Caenorhabditis elegans: one gene and its partners. The protein of the gene in region 1 purifies or fractionates together with the protein of each later gene. This does not show direct contact. Each region holds a gene or a part of one and is shown in the gene's direction. Other genes may lie near its edges. The genes, in order: F40A3.3, cyn-1, tald-1 and srlf-1.

Region 1 (5,449 bases):
GCAACTATTGAAAACAAATTTAATGGTGAAAAGTATCAAATTTCGAAAAATGAAACCAAATGTTTTTTTAAATTGAAACGCATACCCTTTTTCTTGAGAACAAAAACTTAAAATTGTCTCAACCGAACCAAAATTCACCAAAAATTCAACACTTCTTTTCCATCAATTAAACCTGTCAAAAACTAGCACCCGATTCTCCAATTAGATCATCCGATTCCCAATTTAAAATGTATCCTCCTGCCAGATATCTCCTTAGACCCCCCACATTTTTCTTGAGCAAACAAAAAAAGAAATCCGTCCACCAGAATTTCTAGAGTATGGAGAAATAGTTTACTTTTTTCTTCTCGCGTTTTTTTTCTCCACAAACATCAGTATTTTTTTGCGCGATATAGCTGATTCAATTTGACACCTGCTTTAAAGCACTAATTTGGCATTTTGCGTATTTTCGACAATATCAGTGCGGGTTGAAACTGAGACTAGGGTTTGGTGAGCTGAACATATAATAATAGGAAAATTGCTTGCTGGTTGATTTTAATTATTAAAAAGTTAGTAGGCGCATCTTTATGCCTGCATGCCTACTGCCTGTAATTTAGGTTTGAACTCTGATGCTTGCACAGAATTCATCAACGTTTTTGAAGTTATTTACATAGGACAAATTGATGAGTTTTTTTTTGGCATTTCGACTAAAAATAGCAACATTATTTACCTAGACTGTCTGAATAATTAATTTTAAATTCAAAGATATTTCTAGATTACCTGTGACGGTACATAAACTGCTTTTAACAGATCTTCAATATTAATTTATAAAAACGAAAAAAAACGTGTCAAAGTGACTTTGCACTTTTAAAGTAATCCCTCTCTCAATTTCATTTTTATCCAAAATACCCTCTATATTTCGAACTCATTTCGTTTTCATTTGACCTCCTCTTATTTTTTATCCAATTTCCTCTAACTTTTTTTTGCAGTTTCCGGCGAAAAAGGATCAAATGTGTCGTCCGTGAACTCGTCCATCATCAGTTTTCTCCAAACAAGAAACAAAAAACAACAAACCATGTCGCGAATGGATAGTTATAGTTCATCGATTCGTGAGGAGCAGAAAGCCATTCTTAATGGTCTTTTAGGTATTCTTTTTGCGGACGGTTAGTCAAAAGTGTACTGTAGTAGAAACGAAAATGTGCTTTGGTGCATGTGGATTTTGTGATGAGATACTAATAATTTGTACGCGTGAGGGTGAATTATTCTTTTTTTGTAAAATTTGACGCACTAATTTTTTTTGGAAATCAAACATTTGCTCGTAAAATGTGATGTATTGAATCGGCACACTGCACCTTTTCCTTTTGATCTTAAACCAGTAATTAAAAAAAACAATTTATACTCGTTTATTTTTCCACTGGTGTCGCACGGTAAATTTAGTATGACGTCACTATATCCGGACAACAATTTCTAATTTTCAGTTGCTTCTTTTTCAATCAATTATTTCTGAAGATTTACTAAAAAAAATAGTCAAAAATTCCTGAAATCTCAAGTTAGTCCATGTCCCCAAGAGCCGCGAAGTTACACATGTTTTTTGCATTTTTGTTGAGTGAAAACTGTTTTTAAAAAGAAGTTCGAGACAATTACAAAAAATTAATTTTTTTTTCAGGAATAATCTATGACAACTATGACACAACTAGGAAAATTCATCAAACCGTCGATGGAATCTATCGGTTAGTTCCTTCAATTCATTCTTAATATTCTTCTTGGTGAGACCCATTTTTTCAGAATGGTCGTCGCCTTATTGCTCATCGTGATAGCTCTCATCATCATTGCCGTATTTCTCATTTGTTTCTTTCATTGTCGCCGTGCCAACAACGAGGAGAGATCTCCACTGCACTCGAATCGAAAAAGTCATCCCATTGAAATTTGAACATTATTTAAGAATTTTGTAATTTTCGATAGAATACGTTTTGTTATGGGTCTTGCCTTGTGTACCAATAAATTTTTGAACTATGCAGAATATCTAACAATTATGGCTGATTTTAGTCGTTTTTATGTAAAAGCGAAGAAAAATCAGCGATTTTGGACCTAATAATTTGTATAAGGTTTTTGTATAAGGCCATGAAACCTTTTGAAACCAGGCTGTACCTTTAAAGAGGTACCGTAATTTTATCATTTTTTTCGATGTTTTCTGAAACCAGTTTTTTTTTCACTTTTCTAGTCGATTTTTAATTTAACATTTCTCCAAAAGACACAAACATTACAATTATGTGTTGACAGTTAGACAGGAAAAGTGCAGCGAGACGCAGAGAACAACGAAACTCCGTTGCAGGCGCTGCGCCCGTATTAATGTGAACCGAAGATTTTTTTGTAAATAAATTTGATGATTTCAAAACTGTTATCTGATCGAAAATTCATTTTTAAATGAAAATGTTTGCGAAAATAATAAATAATACAGTAACTTTAGGTATTTATTAAAGGCGCATCCAGGATTTTTTAGTAAGGTCTCGCCACGAGTTAGCTCCGTACTACTCGTGGGCAAGATATACATTTTAATAATTAATTCGCTGTTTTTTTTTAAATTTTTTCTTCACTTTTATCGCCATTTAAACCGAGAAAAAAGCTTTCGATGTTCAAATTGATATCTTTTACATTCTCAAATAATAAATTTTCGTTCTGACACGACCTAAATAAGTTTCTCTCGACATGTTTCGTTGTTTGCATCCATTCCTGATATTTTGTCTTCTGACAAAACATGATTTCTCATCGGTATGTAGTGAAAACTAATTGATTGTATTGTTTTTCTTTCGCGTGAGAAAATAATAAAAAAATAAATTAAGGATGGTCGTCCTGGTAACGAGATCTCTGCTCCCCGCCTTATTTTTTGCTTCTAGAGCTCCATTCGCTGCCGCAACTACTTCTGCTAGATTCCAAAGGTTTTCGTTCATATTTTTCTTCTTTTCCAATTTTTTTATTCAACTAAACCTTTTTGTTTATTTCAGAGGTCTCGCTACAATGGCCGCCGAAGCATTCACCAAACACGAGGTCATTCCAGACGTTCTCGCTTCCAACCCACCATCCAAGGTTGTGTCTGTCAAGTTCAACTCTGGCGTCGAGGTAATTCAAAAAAAAGAAATTTAAAAATGTTTAAAAATGTTTTCAGGCTAATCTTGGAAACGTTCTCACTCCAACCCAAGTAAAGGATACTCCAGAAGTAAAATGGGATGCTGAGCCAGGAGCACTCTACACTCTCATCAAGACGGATCCAGATGCTCCATCTCGCAAAGAGCCAACCTACCGAGAGTGGCATCACTGGCTCGTCGTCAACATTCCAGGAAACGACATTGCCAAAGGAGACACTCTTTCCGAGTACATCGGCGCCGGACCACCACCAAAAACTGGACTCCATCGTTACGTTTACCTGATCTACAAGCAATCTGGACGCATCGAAGATGCCGAGCACGGACGTCTAACCAACACTTCCGGAGACAAAAGAGGAGGATGGAAGGCTGCCGATTTCGTCGCAAAGCACAAGCTCGGTGCTCCAGTCTTCGGAAATCTGTTCCAGGCCGAGTACGACGACTACGTGCCAATTCTCAACAAGCAACTCGGAGCATGAGTTGTTCTTCTGTAAAATTGCTAAATACAAAGTTTGTAATTTATATTGTGATTTTCTATCAGCCAGTTTTTTCCTATCCAAGAAGTAAATAAATTTGATGAAACGATGATAAACAAATCGCAATCTTCAGACGATTCTAACTTTGTTATCTTCTCTCCCTATCCGTCCTCCAATCATCGTTACTGATTACCAGGCAGTGGCCATTCGAATTCTCCCATTTCGACATTCTCGTCTCTTCTCATTTTTCTTCTCTCTGACGCCGACGACTTCCAAATTTCTGTCTTCTTCGCTCGCAGGTTATCATGTTAACCCTCCATTCTCATCCACAGTCTATTTACAATACAATTCTCCAATTTCTTTTCCGTTTTCCAAATTGATTCCAGTGTCTTTCTTCGAATCCAAAAATTTTCTTAATTTCTTTCTTGTCTTCTCCGATATTTTACCTAATTGCACCCACTTGACTTTGAAACTAAAGTTGAACTAAGGGCAGAAAAAGAAAAACACACAGGTTTTTTGTTGAGGTAATTGCTGCAGCAGAAAATGCTTCGGAGGATTCTTCTCTCCGCTATACTAATTGTTTTAGTAGCCTGCGTTCTCCGCAAGAAGAAGCCATGTATCAATGGAACTCCTGAAGGTGATTAATAAATCTTTCAGGGCTAACATATAAATTTCAAATTAGAAAATTTGATGTATGACATGAGAAACCTAGAATTAAAATCGAAAGGTTTTGTAGAATAAATTTGAAAATAAAAGGTGAAAACCGGATACATTTATTGCCCTGTTTCTAGAATTTATTCTATTCTTCTTAACATTCATTGAATTTTTCGTTCTTTTAGTTTTCAAAATAAGAAAACTTTCTCAAAAAACGGAATGAAAACGTTTATACAAAAAATATTCCAATTAAACTACTTAAAAACTACTTTAAAAAAATACAGGTACCGCCACGAACGTAATATTTTCAAATGACCATGCGGGATCGTATGCGTTTTTAAATAATACGGTATTTTTGCTACGTTTTTTTACCAAAAGCATGGTTTTGTTGAAGAACTGGACTAACACAAAAGAAAATAACAAAACTATTTAATTTCGGAAAATTTGAATAAAACTAGGTAAGTGTTATTACTGTACTTCTTAAAGGCGCTAACGTTCGCGGCCTCAAATGCCTCAATTAGAAAATATATCGTTCGTGGCAAAAGCAGGTACCGTAATTTTAGGTTTAAAAATGCCTGAAAAGATGTATTTTGAAAACAACTTTTTGAAAAGTTGTGGATGAGTTACATACGTGGAAAATTCAAATATTAAATAGAAATTTCCACAATACAACCTAAAAGGCGCACTCTCAAAATTTGTAGAGAATGCTCTTGTAAAATCCGTTCGAGACCCAATTATATAATCGGCGGTGTTCGAAAATCACCTGAAACATCCAAAAGTTGAAAAATCATACTTTCTAGGTGACCGCTGTTACTGTATCGAAGGCTGGACGGGTACACTATGCCATCGCAAAATGTACTGTTCTGGATTCGAACGCCTTCAGAATGGAAGTTGTATTGAGTGTGAACTCGGATGGGCGGGTACCGATTGTGACATCATTGACTGTCATGGAAATGGAATGCCAAATTATGACTTGACCGAATGCACGTGTACCGTACCATATTCTGGAAAGTATTGCGAGATTGCTGACACTAAAGATATTTACAAATGGTACAATAACTTCACGTCAAGCATCGGTCCTATTGGAATTTTAACAATTATTCCATTGGCTTTGATTTATATGTGTGAGTTGATATTATCATAAATTGGGAAGCCGGAAAAATATTTTTTTATCACTTCAAATTTATCAAAAATGGATTGTTT
Region 2 (5,147 bases), 6.5 Mb from region 1:
ACGTGTTAAGTGTCTCGGATCTCCAGAACGTGAAGGATCCGTCACCATTGTCGGAGCCGTATCACCACCAGGAGGAGATTTCGCCGATCCAGTCACATCCGCCACCCTCGGTATCGTACAGGTGTTCTGGGGACTTGACAAGAAGCTTGCTCAACGTAAACATTTCCCATCTATTAACTGGCTTATTTCCTACTCCGAGTACATGCGTGCTCTTGAGGAGTTCTACGAGAAGAACTACCCAGAGTTCGTCTCACTCCGTACCAAGTGCAAGGAGATCCTCCAGGAAGAAGAAGATCTTTCCGAAATTGTGCAACTCGTCGGAAAAGCTTCCCTCGCCGAATCAGACAAGGTCACACTTGAGGTTGCCAAGATCATCAAGGACGATTTCTTGCAACAGAACGGATACACCAAATACGATCGTTTCTGCCCATTCTACAAGACTGTCGGTATGCTCAAGAATATGATTGGATTCTATGACTTGGCCCGTCATGCTGTTGAAGCAACTGCTCAATCTGATAACAAGATCACATGGAACGTCATCAAGGATAGCATGGGAGATTTGATCTACCAGCTTTCTGCCATGAAATTCAAGGATCCAGTTGCCGATGGTGAAGCCAAGATTCGCAAGGATTACGAAGATTTGGCAGAGGCTATGGCTAACGCTTTCAGAAACCTCGAGGATTAAATTAATGTTTTTAGAAATTTTAAAATTGATTCTCTTGTTTGTTTCTGTTTTCGCCTCCCCGCTAGATTCTGTTCAGTTTTGCTGAGCGTGTACTTTTTAGTTAAAAGTATATGTTTTTCCTTGATCCCCTCACCCAATTCGCCTCCTTTCTCTACTTTTATCCTCTTTAAAGTGTTTGATTGATTTGACATTCCAAATTTCAGATATTTATTGCACCTTTTTTCTCTTTTGTAGATTTCTAAACTTCAAAAAATTCCAACCACACACAATGTATCTGGTCGCCTTACAACTCCCGTTTTAAACAACAATTTCACTTATATTAATCAATATTTTTGGTATTCTTCTTGTTGAATAGACTACTTTACTTGTGCCCTTCCATTTCTTTTTTTGCGACAACCAACCCGTATAGTCTTACGAACCACGTTTTACTGTGTTGTGATATGTATAATACTTTTGAGACACACCAATTCAACTATAGCAATAAACTTTAGGAAAATCACAAATATCTCGCACGCAGGTCTCGTTTTCAAAATGGAATTGGATTCGGTGAAGCAGCAACAACAGCAGAACGCTTGCTGTGAATATATTCTACCAATTAAGAAGCGACGGTGTAAGATGCTGGTGAAAAAGGGAAATCGGTTCTGTGGAGAGCATTCAATTCACGATCAGAATAACACTGATCGTATGGTTTGCCCGAATGATGGAAAACATACGATTCTGAAGGCAGATCTAGAGATTCATCTGACAAGGTGTAATTCTAGAATCAGAGATGCAGAATATATCAAAATTGATGCAAATTCTATTCGTGGCGAGACCAAACGCACCGATAAAATTGATCGAAGAGCCACTGAAGATGAGATTTGTACCACTGTGCACAAGATCTGGAAGTGCTATGAGACGGATGTAATGGATCGTTTGATTGTTGAGCAACAAAGAAATGAGCTCGTCGAGCAAAATATCGCACAAAATTCAGATCTGAACAACACGAAAAAGAAGCAATTATACCAGATTTCGTCTATTTTAGGTTTTATAAAATGCATTTCCATTTTAATAATTTTCTTTTCAGGTCACATCGAATCCACAGGGCTACTTCCAACTTGCTCCAAATCTTGCATGTTCGAGCTCGGAGCTGGAAAAGGTCAACTAGCTTATTGGATCTCCAAAGCAGCGCCAAATGGAAATTATATTCTCATGGATCGCTCTGGATCACGAAATAAATTTGATACTGCTGCATTTCGAGAGAATCCGAATTTATCAATGAAACGCTTCCGATGCTCAATTGAACATATGGACTTGAGCAAGATTGATGAGCTGAAGGTGAGTTTTACAGTTTTTATCCAAAAAAATCTTTATCTTTTTTTAGAACTCTGAAAAGATTTTGGCAATCTGTAAACATTTTTGTGGAAGCGCGACAGACGCTGGAATTCGATCGTTGATGAATAGTGGTCTACAATTCAACGCTGCACTTCTGATCCCTTGTTGCCATCACAAATCGCGATTCGCAGAATATGGAGGACATGATTTTTTGGAGAAATGGGAAATGAATGATGAAGCTTCGTTTGCTGCACTTCGATATATTGCATCGTTTGCAACAAATGGAGCAGTTGATACAGAAGCAACTGAAGGATGGAAGTCAATTCATCCGCCATTAGAGCTTGGACGAAGAGCGAAAGCCATCCTTGAAATCGGACGAGCAATTTGGCTGGAAAGTGTTGGATTCAAGACGAGAGTTGTAGAATACGTGCCGCCAGAAGTATCACCGGAAAATTTATTGATTTTAGCTTTGAAATAAGATCACGCATTTAATAAAATGATTTGTAATATTTTTTAATAAATAGATCGAAACAAATTGAACATTTAATCAAATAAATATACAAAATTTTATTAATTTCGAACAAAAATTAGAATCTATGCGATACCTACACATTCTAAACCACGCGCCTTTAAATAGTACGGTGGGATATTTGACAAAAATTGTTATTATTTGAATTACCTCGCAAATCTCTTGGCGTTTTTCGCGTGCACGAGAAACGCGCAAGCAAAGAATTTGATTGCGCTTTGTCAGATTAGTATTTATTTTATTTTCTTTTTCACTTTAAATTCAATCCTATGGCTTTGTTCTGCACGTTTTTGAATTAGTTTTGTTTCTTTTTTCAGGTAAAATGAAATTTCTACTCCGTGCCTCCTCACTTGCCGGTCAATCACTTCGATTCGCCTCTCAAAGACCGAAGGTGTTTTTCGACGTGAGTATTGGAGAAGAACCAGCAGGACGTGTCACCATGGAGTTGTTCAACGATGTTGTCCCAAAAACAGCAGAGAATTTCCGCGCATTGTGCACCGGTGAGAAGGGCGTCGGAGAGCAAGGAGTTGCACTTCACTTCAAGGGATCAAAATTCCACAGAATCATTCCAGAGTTCATGATTCAGGTAATTTTTAGTTTCGAACTATGAGTTTTAACTATTTTTCATTAACATTATTCAATTCTTCAGGGAGGAGATTTCACTCGCCACAACGGAACTGGTGGTGAATCAATCTACGGAAATAAATTCAAGGACGAGAATTTCGATCTTAAGCACACCGGACCAGGATGCCTTTCAATGGCCAACGCTGGACCAAACACCAACGGATCTCAGTTTTTCATTTGCACAGTCGACACTCCATGGCTTGATGGAGGTCACGTCGTTTTCGGACAAGTCACCGACGGCATGTCTGTTGTGAAGAAGATCGAAAAGATGGGATCCCGATCCGGAGCCCCAGCCAAGACTGTCACAATCGCCGATTGCGGAGAGTTGAAGAGCGAGTAACTTCATTGTTTTTTTTGTTTCAAAAATATTTTTCATTAGCGTTAGCAAATTGTTATTATTTTTTAATTAATTGTTTTTAATTAGTAAAGTTTTAGTTTTTTTTCGAAAAATAACTGGAAAAAATTAAGTCTTACAGATTTATTTTCTACCAGAAAAGTGAAAAGCAAAAGCAATGGTCTATAAAAATTCACCAGAAGACTCAATATCATCTGCCGATGTACAATATTCACACGTCTTCGCACAAATTTTACGAAAAAGTGGAGAATAGGCTCTATGTGTGCACAACTTCTGATTCCTCTCACAATCTGATGCTCGATCCACGCATTCTGCAGTATCAGTCATTTCCGATGAGATATTTTCAATTCTTTTCGAGAACCTTCGCGGTTTCTTTTCCATGAACGTCGTGGGAGTTGTTGCATTTCTCAGAAGATCAATCACATTGTCAACTATTTTCAACTCTTCCAATTTTTGAACAGTTTTTTCACCCATTTCTAAATATTTCAGAATATGTTTAAACAGGTCGGAAGAAGCTTACTGGATTTCAAATGCGAAATATGAATTTCCCGGCTATCCTCTGTTTCCTCTTCTTCGTACTCGTCATCGTCAACACAAAATTTGCAGGTTTTTGCACATCTGAAATTGCATTTAAAAAGTTAATAATACACTAATTGGCCTCGACGCGACAAATTTTTGTTAATTTTAATGGTGCGTCCATAGTCTGCGGAAAACGGGAATTTCCCGCGTGCGGAAGCGTCCATAGTCTGCGGAAAAACCGGAGTTCCTCGCTTTTTTTTTTCCTCAAAGTTCAAAAAAGTAGGAGTGGCCAACCAATCAGCTGTTGTTTCTTGTTTTCCCATTGCTCAGCTTAAAATTTTACAGCCCCTAATTGGTTGAACACGCCCACTATTTTGAAATTGACCAATAACAAAGCGAGAAACTCCTTGTTTTTTTCCGCAGACTATGGACGCTTCCGCAAGCGGGAATTTCCCGTTTTCCGCAGACTATGGACGCACCATAAAAGGCGTGCGCTTTTCAAGAGTACTATAATTCGGGTTTTCTGGGGAATTTTGATCGATTTTTACAGTTTTTTAGTTAAAAAGAAAACTCTATTAAAAAAATTTTTTTTAAACAAAAACTGAAAAATCAATGAAAACAGAATACATGTTTAAATTACAGTACTCCTTAAAACCGCACGTGTTTTTACATTGAAATTTTTACAAGAAAATACATGTCGTGCCAAGACCGGGTACCGTATTGGCGCAAAATTCCTAAAATTTGCTGCTGGAGAAAAATGAGACAAAAACTCACTGTAAACTCATCATGCGTTTGTAGAACTTTCTCTGACAAAAATTGGCTCTATCTGCACAATCATCAGCTTCATCAATACATTTGAATGGTTTGATAATCTCATCTGTGGGTACTGTACTTGTAGTTGTTCCACCAGTTTTAGAATTAATACAATATCCACATGTAAGAGGACAAGCAATTTCCATAAGCTTCTGTTCTATTCGATTGGGTGATAAACATTTAACAGCAATCAATCTACAATCATGATGTGCATCTGCACATTTTTCAGACAAAACTGTATGGATAAATACTAGAGAAATGGATAAAAATAGCTGAAGCATTATTGAAAAGTATTCGAATAGACTATAGAA
Region 3 (6,660 bases), on another chromosome or scaffold:
CGTCAATTAACCGAAAAATTGTTTTTTTTTCTTCAAAAAAGTGAGTTTTGAAGTAGATTAAAATTTTTTAATAAGAATTGCATTTTTTGATTTCTGAAAAAAGTATTTTTTCGAAATAATTGGCTAAAAATTTGATTTTTTGAAAATTCTGAAAATAAAAAAAAGTGGTTTTTTTCTTCGAATTTATTGAAAAAAAATGTTTATTCAAAGTTTTGGCGCTAAAAAATCAATATTTTTATCTATTGCCCGCTGAAATATTCAAAATTAGAAAATTTCAGTCAAAAACTGTCATTTTCAGTTCTAAAAATGTGGTTTTATATTCAGAAAAATTCAGAAATAGAAAAATATGATAATTTAAGTTTTAAAAAAATACAATTCTAATTTTCTTCCAGATCCTGATCGCCGTCGACGACTCCGAATCAATGAACGAGAACGGAATCCATCAAAACACTTGTGAATCCGTATGCATTGTGGAAGATGCTCTCCGACGTTGTGATGCTGGACGTGTCTCTGTGTGCTCATTCGGAGCCGACGTCAATACAATCATTCCATTCGGAGAAGCTTCGGCGAGCAGTAGCATTGAAATGCTCAAACAAATGACATTTTCGCAGAAGAAAACTGATCTTTTATTGCTCCTGAAAACTGCCAAGCAACAGCTCGACGAGATGAGAACGGGAACTTCTGAGCAAATGCTCATTGTGATTTCAGATGGAAGAGGTGCTTTATCACAGGGTGCTGATAAGGTTCGAGCTCTTTATTCGGCTCTTCAAGGTGTCACTGTGCTCTTTATTGTGTTGGATTCGGGAAAGAAATCGATTGAAGATCATACGGTTGCATCGTTTAAGGATAATAAAGTGGTACGGTTTTGTTTTAAGTAAAAATGTCCAAAAATTTCAAAAATCGTTTAGGAAAAAAATTTTTCAGATGTTATTTTGAACGATTTAATTTTTAAAAAACTAATAAATCGAATAAAATTGAAAAATCGATTTTTTTAACCCGAAAATTTTCTAAAAATTGATTCAGATAGAATTTCGCAAATTTTCATTCAAAAAATCACATTTTCAACATTCCAGGATTTTTTTAGCTAGAAATCGGGGCAATTTAGTGAAAATTTGCCAATTTTGGTTTAAAAAATCAACATTTTCACCCAAAACTTGTAATTGGCATGTTTAAAATTTCAAAATCAGACGATTTCAGTTGAAATCTGCTATTTTTGACTGGAAATATGTTTTTTTTCAAAAATATCCCAGTTTTAGATTATTATGGGTATTTTTTAAAGAAAAATCCAATTAAAAAAATATACATTTTCCATTTTATTTGAAGTTACACTCTGAAAAAAAAATTGTTTTCGAGGTGACGTAGCACCATGCATTTTCAACATTTTCCTCCAAAATTAGTGTCAAAGTATAGAAAATTAGTTGATTTATCTGAAAATGACATTTATTCGACTGAAAATTTGAGAAATTGCTCAAAAAAGGCCAGAAAGTTGACAATTGCCGAAATTAGTCAACTTTCAAGCCATTTCTGGGCATTTTCTCGAAGGCTTCAGCTGAAATTAATGTTATTTTCAAATAAATCGAGTGATTTTTCATATTTTTAAACTAATTTCAAGTTGTAAAAATGTTGGAACAACATGGTGCAACAGACCATTTTCTAGAATTGCCGCTCATTTAAAATACCCAAAAAATGTGTGAAATTTGATCATATTTGACTACAAAAAACGTTTTTTTTAATTTTAATTTTTTAAAAACTGGTAATTTTCCATTCTCGATATTGAACAAACGCCGAGGTTACGGTAATTATAGGATTTTCAGCAAAAATTTGCTTTTAAAATTACAAAAGTTTTTTTTTCGTTATTTCAGTCTTCTATGGCCGATTATTTGTATATTTTTAGGTCTGAAATTTAAATTTCAGTAGACTTTTTTGGCATTTTGACGATTTTCGCTTCAATTTTGACCTAAAAATCGATAATTTCACATTTTTAAATAATTTTTTGCGGAAAACTGTCTGAAAATGTGAGAAATTGTGTTTAAAATAATATTTAAAAAATGAAACAAAAAATTGAAACTAGGTCAAAATATTCGAAAGGAATTTCGCAAATAAATTTCAAAACTCAATAAATTTTCCAATTTTTGAAGATTTTTCCTTTTTTTCGTGTTAAAATTCCCAAAAAAATGTGTGAAATTTGATCATATTTGACTACAAAGAACAATATTTACTTTCTTTTTTTTCTCGAAAACCCCCCGATTCTCTTGCCATTTGCCCCCATAAAACTGCTGACAATTTCCAATTTTTCCTGCAGGTACTCACGCCATACCTCGCCCTGTTCCCGTTCCCATTCTACGCTCTCGTCAAATCAGTTCAACAACTACCATCGGTGATTGCCGAATCGATTCGTCAATGGTTCGAAATGACGACGACACATCATAGTTGAGAGGCTACAAACTACAGACTGCAAACTACACACATTTAGTCATATTCTTGTTTTTTTGTTACTACTTTACTTTATACCTTTTTATCATCATTTTTGTTACTTTTTTTCGAAAACTGTTTTTCTCACTTCCCTACTCCTTTTATCGTCATTTTTTTATGAGTTGTTACTTTTTTTTTGAAATTTTCCCCCTTTTTTGTTATTTTTTGTTCATTGTTCATTGTTTTCACATTGGTTAGTCGAATTATCATTATCATTATATCTATTAAAAATTTGAAATTTTTTTGATACGGTTTTTGTTATCTTTGATGCTATCAATGGGCTGCACTTTCCATTCGATCTCTCTCACGCGATTTTTCCCGTAATTTTCACGATTATTGATTTTTTTTTGACTTTTTCTAGGGAAATCATGTCGGTTTTGGAACAACTCAAAGGAGCATCAGTCGTTGTTGCGGATACTGGAGATTTTAATGGTAAAAATTTTGAACATTAAGAAAAAGTTCGAAAATGTGGTGAATAATTGATTTTTTTTGGCAGTTTTGAAAAAAAATTAAATTATCTGAAAATTCGATTTTTCTAGGAAGACCACTGTTATAATGTAAAAAACAGTAAATTTCTCGATTTTCAGATAGAAATCTGACTTTTTGAACTTTTTAAATTAATTTTTTTAGAGAAAAAAATACATATTTTCAAGAAGTTTCCAAAAAATTCGTTAAAACATTTTAAAAATAAATACTATTAAATTTTATGGAAGTATTGTAAATTTCTGGAATGTGCCATTTAAAAATTAGAATTTTTCAAAAATTCCAAAAAAAGCTGTGAAAAACTTTTTTTGGATAATTCGATGAATTCTCTTTTTTCTAAATTTTTGTAAATACTGGTGAAAAATATTTATTTTGAAAAAAATGTGTTTGCGCCTTTCAAAAGTACAGTACCCAGACGTTCCTTCAATTTCGTTTTTTTTTTCATTTTTCAACGTTTTCTCTCAAGAATTTAGATGAAAAGCGTGAAAAATTAATTTAAAAAATCAGGAAATGGGTTACTGTAAGTCTTAAAGGCGCACACCTTTGTTTTTTTCCTCGATTTTGTGTAAAAAGTCAAAAATCGAAAAATAAAACTCGAATTTTCCAGTTGAAAAAAGTACTTTTTTCAAAAATTGTTCTCAAAAAATCGATTTTTTTCAGCGATCAAGGAATTCCAGCCAACAGATGCAACTACCAACCCATCGCTCATCCTGGCCGCCTCAAAAATGGAGCAATACGCAGCATTAATCGATCAATCAGTTGCCTACGCAAAAGAGCACGCCAGTGGACATCAAGAAGTGCTCCAAGCGGCTATGGATCGACTTTTTGTAGTTTTTGGAAAAGAAATCCTGAAAACTATTCCAGGAAGAGTTTCCACAGAAGTTGATGCTCGTCTTTCATTTGATACTCAAGCATCGATTGATCGGGCTCTTGGACTTATTGCTCAATACGAGAAGGAAGGAATCTCGAAGGATCGGATTCTTATCAAACTTGCTTCAACTTGGGAAGGAATTCGGGCTGCTAAGTACGGCATTGGAGATTTTAGGAAAACTTTTCAGTTAAAAAACTTTTTTTTAAAAATCAAACTTGATGAAATTTTACCCATTTTTGATGATTTGCTTGGTTTAAAACACTACTAGTTTCGAAAAAATCAATTAAAAAACGAATTATACAAGATGAAATTGTTAAAAATTAACACATTTTAAATTAAAAACTAGAAATGCTTCGATTTTTCTTGTAAATCACCTAAAATCTACGGACATACCTTTTCGAAACATACAAAGTCTCGTTTCTATTAGTTTTCTACTGAAAATCTACTCAATTGGACCCAAATTGACATTTTTCAAAAGAGTTTAAGGCATTAATTATAACGGAAATAGTTCAAAATCAGCAAAAAATTAAATTTTCAGATTCCTCGAATCTAAGCACGGAATCCACTGCAACATGACACTGCTCTTCAACTTTGAGCAAGCAGTCGCGTGTGCCGAGTCAGGAGTCACCCTAATCTCGCCATTCGTCGGAAGAATCATGGATTGGTTCGTGAAGAATACCGATCAGAAGGCCTACACTCGAAAAGACGATCCAGGAGTTGTCAGTGTTACTCGAATCTTTAATTATTACAAGAAATACGACTATAAGACACAAGTGATGGCTGCCTCGTTCCGTAATACTGAAGAGATCAAGGGACTTGTTGGATGTGATCTTCTTACTATTTCTCCGGCTCTTCTGAAGCAACTTGCTGCGGAGACGGAACTTGCTCCAGTTGTGCTCTCCACTTCTCATGGTGAGCGGGAGATTTAATCAATTAAAAATTGCAATTTTTAATTATTTTCCAGCCAAGACACTCGACCTGCCGAAAGTGAGCATTGACGAGAAGGCGTTCAGATGGGCTCTCAACGAGGACGCCATGGCCACCGAGAAGCTCGCCGAAGGAATCCGCAACTTTGCCAAAGACGCCAGAACTCTGGAGAAGCTTATCGAGGCAAAGATCTAAATTGTATTGATTGATGTATTTGTCGTGCTTACTAGTTTTCCCCAATTTCATCAGTGTTGTGATTTCCCCTTAAATATTTCGTTACGTATTTTAATGAACCCTTATGTAATTTAAAGAGCACTGTAAAGGCAAGATACACAAAATAGCCGAACTCTTATCGCACTCTGCAAGTTTCTGGACAGTTGTGGCTGTGACACCCGGAATTGAACCCAACTAGAATTGTTCAGTGAAACCATATCGCAGACAACCAGCAAGCTCCAAGACAACGACGAACTAGGGAGACACTTCTCGGGAAAACTGTTCTCAACAATATCCAACAAGACCGATCCAAATGAGTACCACGAAGACTACCAATTATTGAAAAAGATACAAGCTTTGAATAACAAGTTTTTATTATCAACAAAAACAATTTAGAGCTTTCCAAGATCACGGGCACGAGCGCGCTCGATCTTGAGCTTCTTGGCATCAGACTTGGCGGACATGACACCTCCTCCCCAGTGCTTGCGGATCTCCTCGTGACGCTCGCTGAAGTTGTTGTTGACGGTCTCGACGAGCTTGTTCAAGGCAGATTTGTCCTCTCTGAATACAAAGAAATAATTATTTGCTCAAGAAACTATAGAATCTGAAACTTACGGGTTGACATCGACGAGAGCAACAGCGGCGGTGGTCTTTCTGCGGACGACGGTTCCGAGGGAAGCCTTTCCCTTGATGATGGCGTATGGAACGTTGTACTTTCTGCAGAGGGCTGGAAGGTGGAGCACGATCTCGAGTGGGTTGACGTCGTGAGCGATGAGAACCAATTGAGCTCTGCGGGTCTCGACGAGTCTGGTGATGGTGTTGACTCCGTGGCGAACGGTGTTTGGTCTCTTGGTGACCTCCTCCTTCTTTCCAGCAGCGCGAGCCTCGGCACGAGCACGGAGACGGTTCTTCTTGGCCTCGGTCGACTCCGGGCGGTACTTGTCCAAGAGCTTGAAGGCTTGTCTAGCTGAAAACAGAAAATTACCACTGGAAACATAACAGCGTAAAGTCAAAAGCCTTACTTCACCTATCAGAGTAAATGCGTCAGTGCAAAGCTCAAGGCTTGCTTATAGTACATGACTCTGATAAAAAATTAGCTATACCAACCGGACTGGCTGTCAAGAGCGGTTCTGAACTGGTTGATGGTTGGTGGAACCTTCAGGCGCTTCTGGAGAATGGCGGATTGACGCTGGAGACGGATGTACTTTGGCCATTTGACGAATCGGGTGACGTCCTTCTTTGGCTGGATGTCTTGTCCTGTAAAAAGATTTAATTATAATAAAATCTTGGAACGTTTTTAGGATATTTGTAATTTGCATGGTTTGTCCTAACCGTCACGGACCCATAGGATCTACGGAAGGATAAGGAATATGCAATCCAGCCCGGGCATCTCAAATAGCGGTAGAGGGCCACACAGACTGTTGGTATACGACAAGGTGGATCGGAGTCAACTTTACAGAAAGCCCCCGATGCTCCACTAAGAAAAGCAATCAACCCCGAAGAGGATCGCTAGTCACATGTCGAGAGAAACTACGAATTGTTTCGAAACGTACCGATGTTGAAGTTGCGAGCTCTCTTCTCGAAGAGTGGGTTCTTCACTTCCTTCTGGACTTGAGTTTGGGCACGAATGTGCGCCGGAACAGCGGCGACTTTCTTCTTGATAACCTTCTTGCTAGGCTGAAACAGGAAAATTA
Region 4 (3,187 bases), on another chromosome or scaffold:
GTATGAGTATTTATTGTAAACTAAATTCCACATATTTACAGTCAGTAGAGATACACCTAATGTTCTTTGTTTTCCCATCTGAATGGAATGTTCTAGTTTTACTTTCACCCAAACACTTAAATTACATTCGTTGTGCTCTGCAGGAGCAGAAATGTCCAATGTGCGAAAAGTTGAAGGATTCCAGTAGTAAGTTTATTTGTATTTCAACTCTTTCTACTCTCAACGATCAGCCCTGTTTGTTTTCTCTTTTTTTTTGATTTTCGGCATTCATTCATCAAGTATACATTCCCGAACTCTCAGATTTAATTTCATTGGTTTTCGGTCGGTATATGGGAAAACGTAGTTTGAGGTTATATTCTGTTAGATAGGTCAGCGAAAAGATTTATGTCGCCTATAAAGAAATGGTCCGTTTGTACATATTTGGCACATCAACTGAACAAAGAAACAATGACGTTTACATGTTTATGGATGACCACGTCATAAAACTAGAGATAATATCTGAATGAAGGAAAGTGTAGGTTTCCGAGGGCATATACAATGTTAAAGGATAAATAATGAAATTGTGTTTTGAATAGTAGTCTAACTCACGAAAATTCTCAAGAAAAATAGATCATAACAAAACGTTCTAATTAGAATTACGTTTTGGTAGATACATAAGTCTAGAGCTGTACAGATCAAGCTGGTTGTCAGAAATTCGATTCATTTTCAGTTTAAACTTAATTGTTCGATACACCTTCTGACCATCTTTCCATTCTGACTTGTAGCATTTAAAGATATGTTTCGATCATTGGAACAAATCAGAAGTTGTCATTGAAACCACAGAATGTTGGTGCTTGACAAAATGAAGAAGTCAAGAAAAGGAGGAACCGACAGTTTTATTTCCATATCAGGAAGTGATCGAAGGATATAAAATGGGATCGACTGAAGGCAGAAACAGGAAAGAAAACGGATTGGTACTACGATTTTAGATGGAAAAACCTCGAAGATGATACACATAAAACGGATAATAAAATATACTGAAAAGAGAAAAATGAGTTCAAGGCTACACAAACAACACCTTTTGTTTCAAATTTTACCTTATTTCATTTCTATGATAAGCTTAAAAAGATGAATGATGTCATTGAGGAAAGTGTTAAAATGAGACGAGAAAGATGTAAAGATAGATCTTCGTATTGATAGATACCGACAAAAGGTCAGACGTTTCATATTGATGATGGTTAGGGAAAAGGAAATGAAGAATAATGATAAAATCATTTAAAAAAAGCAAAAGGCCGGTAAATCGACTGAAAAACACTAGGTTTTGAAAAAGTTGGGAAAATTTTCCATGCAATAGTTCTAGAGTACTTTTTCGCAAGTCATTTCACTTGTTGGGAAAGGAGTTTTAATTTCGAATCGAGACAACTAAAAAATATTTTTTTTAACTTTTGTATTTTGTAGAGTGAAATATTTGATCACACTCCAAGAGTAGTTACTATTTCCGAGCCTTTCATTTTTCACGAAATCCAGATATTTGATATGTGACTTTCAACACAACAGTTCAGTTACAAGAAGACAGAATGAAAATCGAATCTGTAACGGAATTTTAAAAAATCATGAGAACCTCTGTCCGCGTTCTATCTCAATGACGTCTTTCTTAACTTCTGTTCCAATATTCTAAATTTATTCGTCACTACGGCTTCTTTATTGTGTTGAAAAAGTTTCAAATTCAGCGATTTTCCATCGGAAAACTGGTCAACTTCAGCGAACACACTGTATCTCTCTATGTCTCCATACTGTCTCATCTATGATCTACGTGTGGGAGGAGCGAAAGGGCGGCACAGAGAGAGAGATAGAGATAGAGAGGGAGAGAGAAATGACTATGAGCGTCGATTGTATAAAAGAAACTATTTCTGCTGGACATCCCTCATCAGTCGTCTTCTAATACTCTTTCTGATTCACTTAAAATGTGCCGTCTTGCCGTTTTTGCTCTTCTCGCCGTCGCCGCTGTGTCTGTCTACGGACAACCAGCCGGAGGTCAAGATGTTCCACCATTCCTTCGTAATGCCACTCCAGCTCAACTTCAGAGCTTCCAACAGCTCATTCAAGCCAACGGTCATTTGACTGAGACCGCTCTTGACGGAAAGGTCCAAGCCTGGGTTAACCAACAAGGAGGAAAGGTTGCTGCTGACTGGGCTGACTTCCAAAAATTCATCAAGGGACAACAGGGACAAGCTGAGGCTGCTCATCAAGCCGCTGTTTCCAACTTCTCTCCAGCTGCCAAGAAAGTAAGATAATGTGGATAAACCAACTAGATTAAGCCATATATTACGTAAAAGTAAAATCAGATAAACTAGTCGGATTTGTACTAGCACTGCAAATACTACATCTACTAGTTTTCGGAATAAAACCAAAGTATCAATTTTAATCTTTTCAATTTCTTTCAGGCCGATGCTGACCTTACCGCCATCTCCAATGACAGCTCCCTCTCTGTTCAAGCCAAGGGACAAAAGATCCAAGCCTACCTCAACTCCCTCCCAGCTAACGTCAAGGCTGAGCTCGAGAAGGCCCAAGGACAATAAGTGCTGATCAACCAAAGAACCTCTCAATTTTTTTTTGTAAATACCCTCACTCATTCTCTCGTTCTCATTCGATTGATTCCCTTTTTGCCCAAATGAGCTCTAATTCTAATAAAAATCGTGATGCTCTTCAAATTTCAATTGAAACTAGCAAACATATAAAAACTAGAATATTCAGTATAGGCATGTGTATCTATGTTTAGATTGGATGTACACTTTTTATGAATGACTGAGCGGTAAAGTTGACACAAACCTGTTTGTTTGCGCATACTAGTACTTAGGATATTGTGTAGAAAAAGTGCTCAAGTTCAGTTTTTTGAACATTGAAACTGAAAATTTTTAAATCGTAGTAAACTGGACACTGTCAAATAAAAATATTTCATGGTATGAACAAAATAAAGCTTTTAGAGATAAAAAACACGGCTTCATAACTATTGTTTTAAAGTTTTCAAATGATCGATTCTACTTCCAAAAACATATTATTTTCTCTACTCCGTGATATTCTCCATATGAAGAAAAGTACGAGAGACTATCACTTTAAGTTCAAGGTCTCACAATCTCTGATTTGTGATGACCCTTTTCTCTTCTTTTTTCAATCAAACTTAATTTGTTTCCCAATTGTGTTCCAGACT

What was found.
Region 2: the proteins of F40A3.3 (region 1) and cyn-1 fractionate together in Caenorhabditis elegans (co-fractionation; one large-scale study listed by BioGRID). This does not show direct contact.
Region 3: the proteins of F40A3.3 (region 1) and tald-1 fractionate together in Caenorhabditis elegans (co-fractionation; one large-scale study listed by BioGRID). This does not show direct contact.
Region 4: the proteins of F40A3.3 (region 1) and srlf-1 fractionate together in Caenorhabditis elegans (co-fractionation; one large-scale study listed by BioGRID). This does not show direct contact.

What each region holds. Positions count from the first base shown.
Region 1 is NC_003283.11:7,874,798-7,880,246, forward strand, and holds F40A3.3 (Phosphatidylethanolamine-binding protein), read left to right. Parts: upstream 1-2,731; coding exon 2,732-2,745; intron 2,746-2,816; coding exon 2,817-2,912; intron 2,913-2,978; coding exon 2,979-3,093; intron 3,094-3,139; coding exon 3,140-3,595; downstream 3,596-5,449. Other genes in the region: F40A3.4 (Envelope glycoprotein N), read left to right, coding at 1,052-1,121, 1,643-1,706, 1,762-1,906; F40A3.2 (EGF-like domain-containing protein), read left to right, coding at 4,136-4,229, 5,047-5,370.
Region 2 is NC_003283.11:14,353,234-14,358,380, forward strand, and holds cyn-1 (Peptidyl-prolyl cis-trans isomerase 1), read left to right. Parts: upstream 1-2,842; 5' UTR 2,843-2,847; coding exon 2,848-3,111; intron 3,112-3,174; coding exon 3,175-3,489; 3' UTR 3,490-3,588; downstream 3,589-5,147. Other genes in the region: vha-13 (V-type proton ATPase catalytic subunit A), read left to right, coding at 1-685; Y49A3A.3 (tRNA:m(4)X modification enzyme TRM13), read left to right, coding at 1,217-1,709, 1,752-2,002, 2,049-2,477; Y49A3A.4 (ShKT domain-containing protein), read right to left, coding at 3,667-3,980, 4,025-4,122, 4,798-5,117. UniProt on the Caenorhabditis elegans protein: PPIases accelerate the folding of proteins. It catalyzes the cis-trans isomerization of proline imidic peptide bonds in oligopeptides.
Region 3 is NC_003282.8:4,383,818-4,390,477, forward strand, and holds tald-1 (Transaldolase), read left to right. Parts: upstream 1-2,833; 5' UTR 2,834-2,840; coding exon 2,841-2,904; intron 2,905-3,615; coding exon 3,616-3,979; intron 3,980-4,364; coding exon 4,365-4,738; intron 4,739-4,790; coding exon 4,791-4,948; 3' UTR 4,949-5,063; downstream 5,064-6,660. Other genes in the region: F55F10.1 (Midasin), read left to right, coding at 393-857, 2,303-2,434; rpl-7A (Large ribosomal subunit protein eL8), read right to left, coding at 5,359-5,527, 5,582-5,933, 6,074-6,223, 6,520-6,643.
Region 4 is NC_003280.10:7,788,689-7,791,875, forward strand, and holds srlf-1 (SXP/RAL-2 family protein Ani s 5-like cation-binding domain-containing protein), read left to right. Parts: upstream 1-1,903; 5' UTR 1,904-1,943; coding exon 1,944-2,264; intron 2,265-2,423; coding exon 2,424-2,558; 3' UTR 2,559-2,687; downstream 2,688-3,187.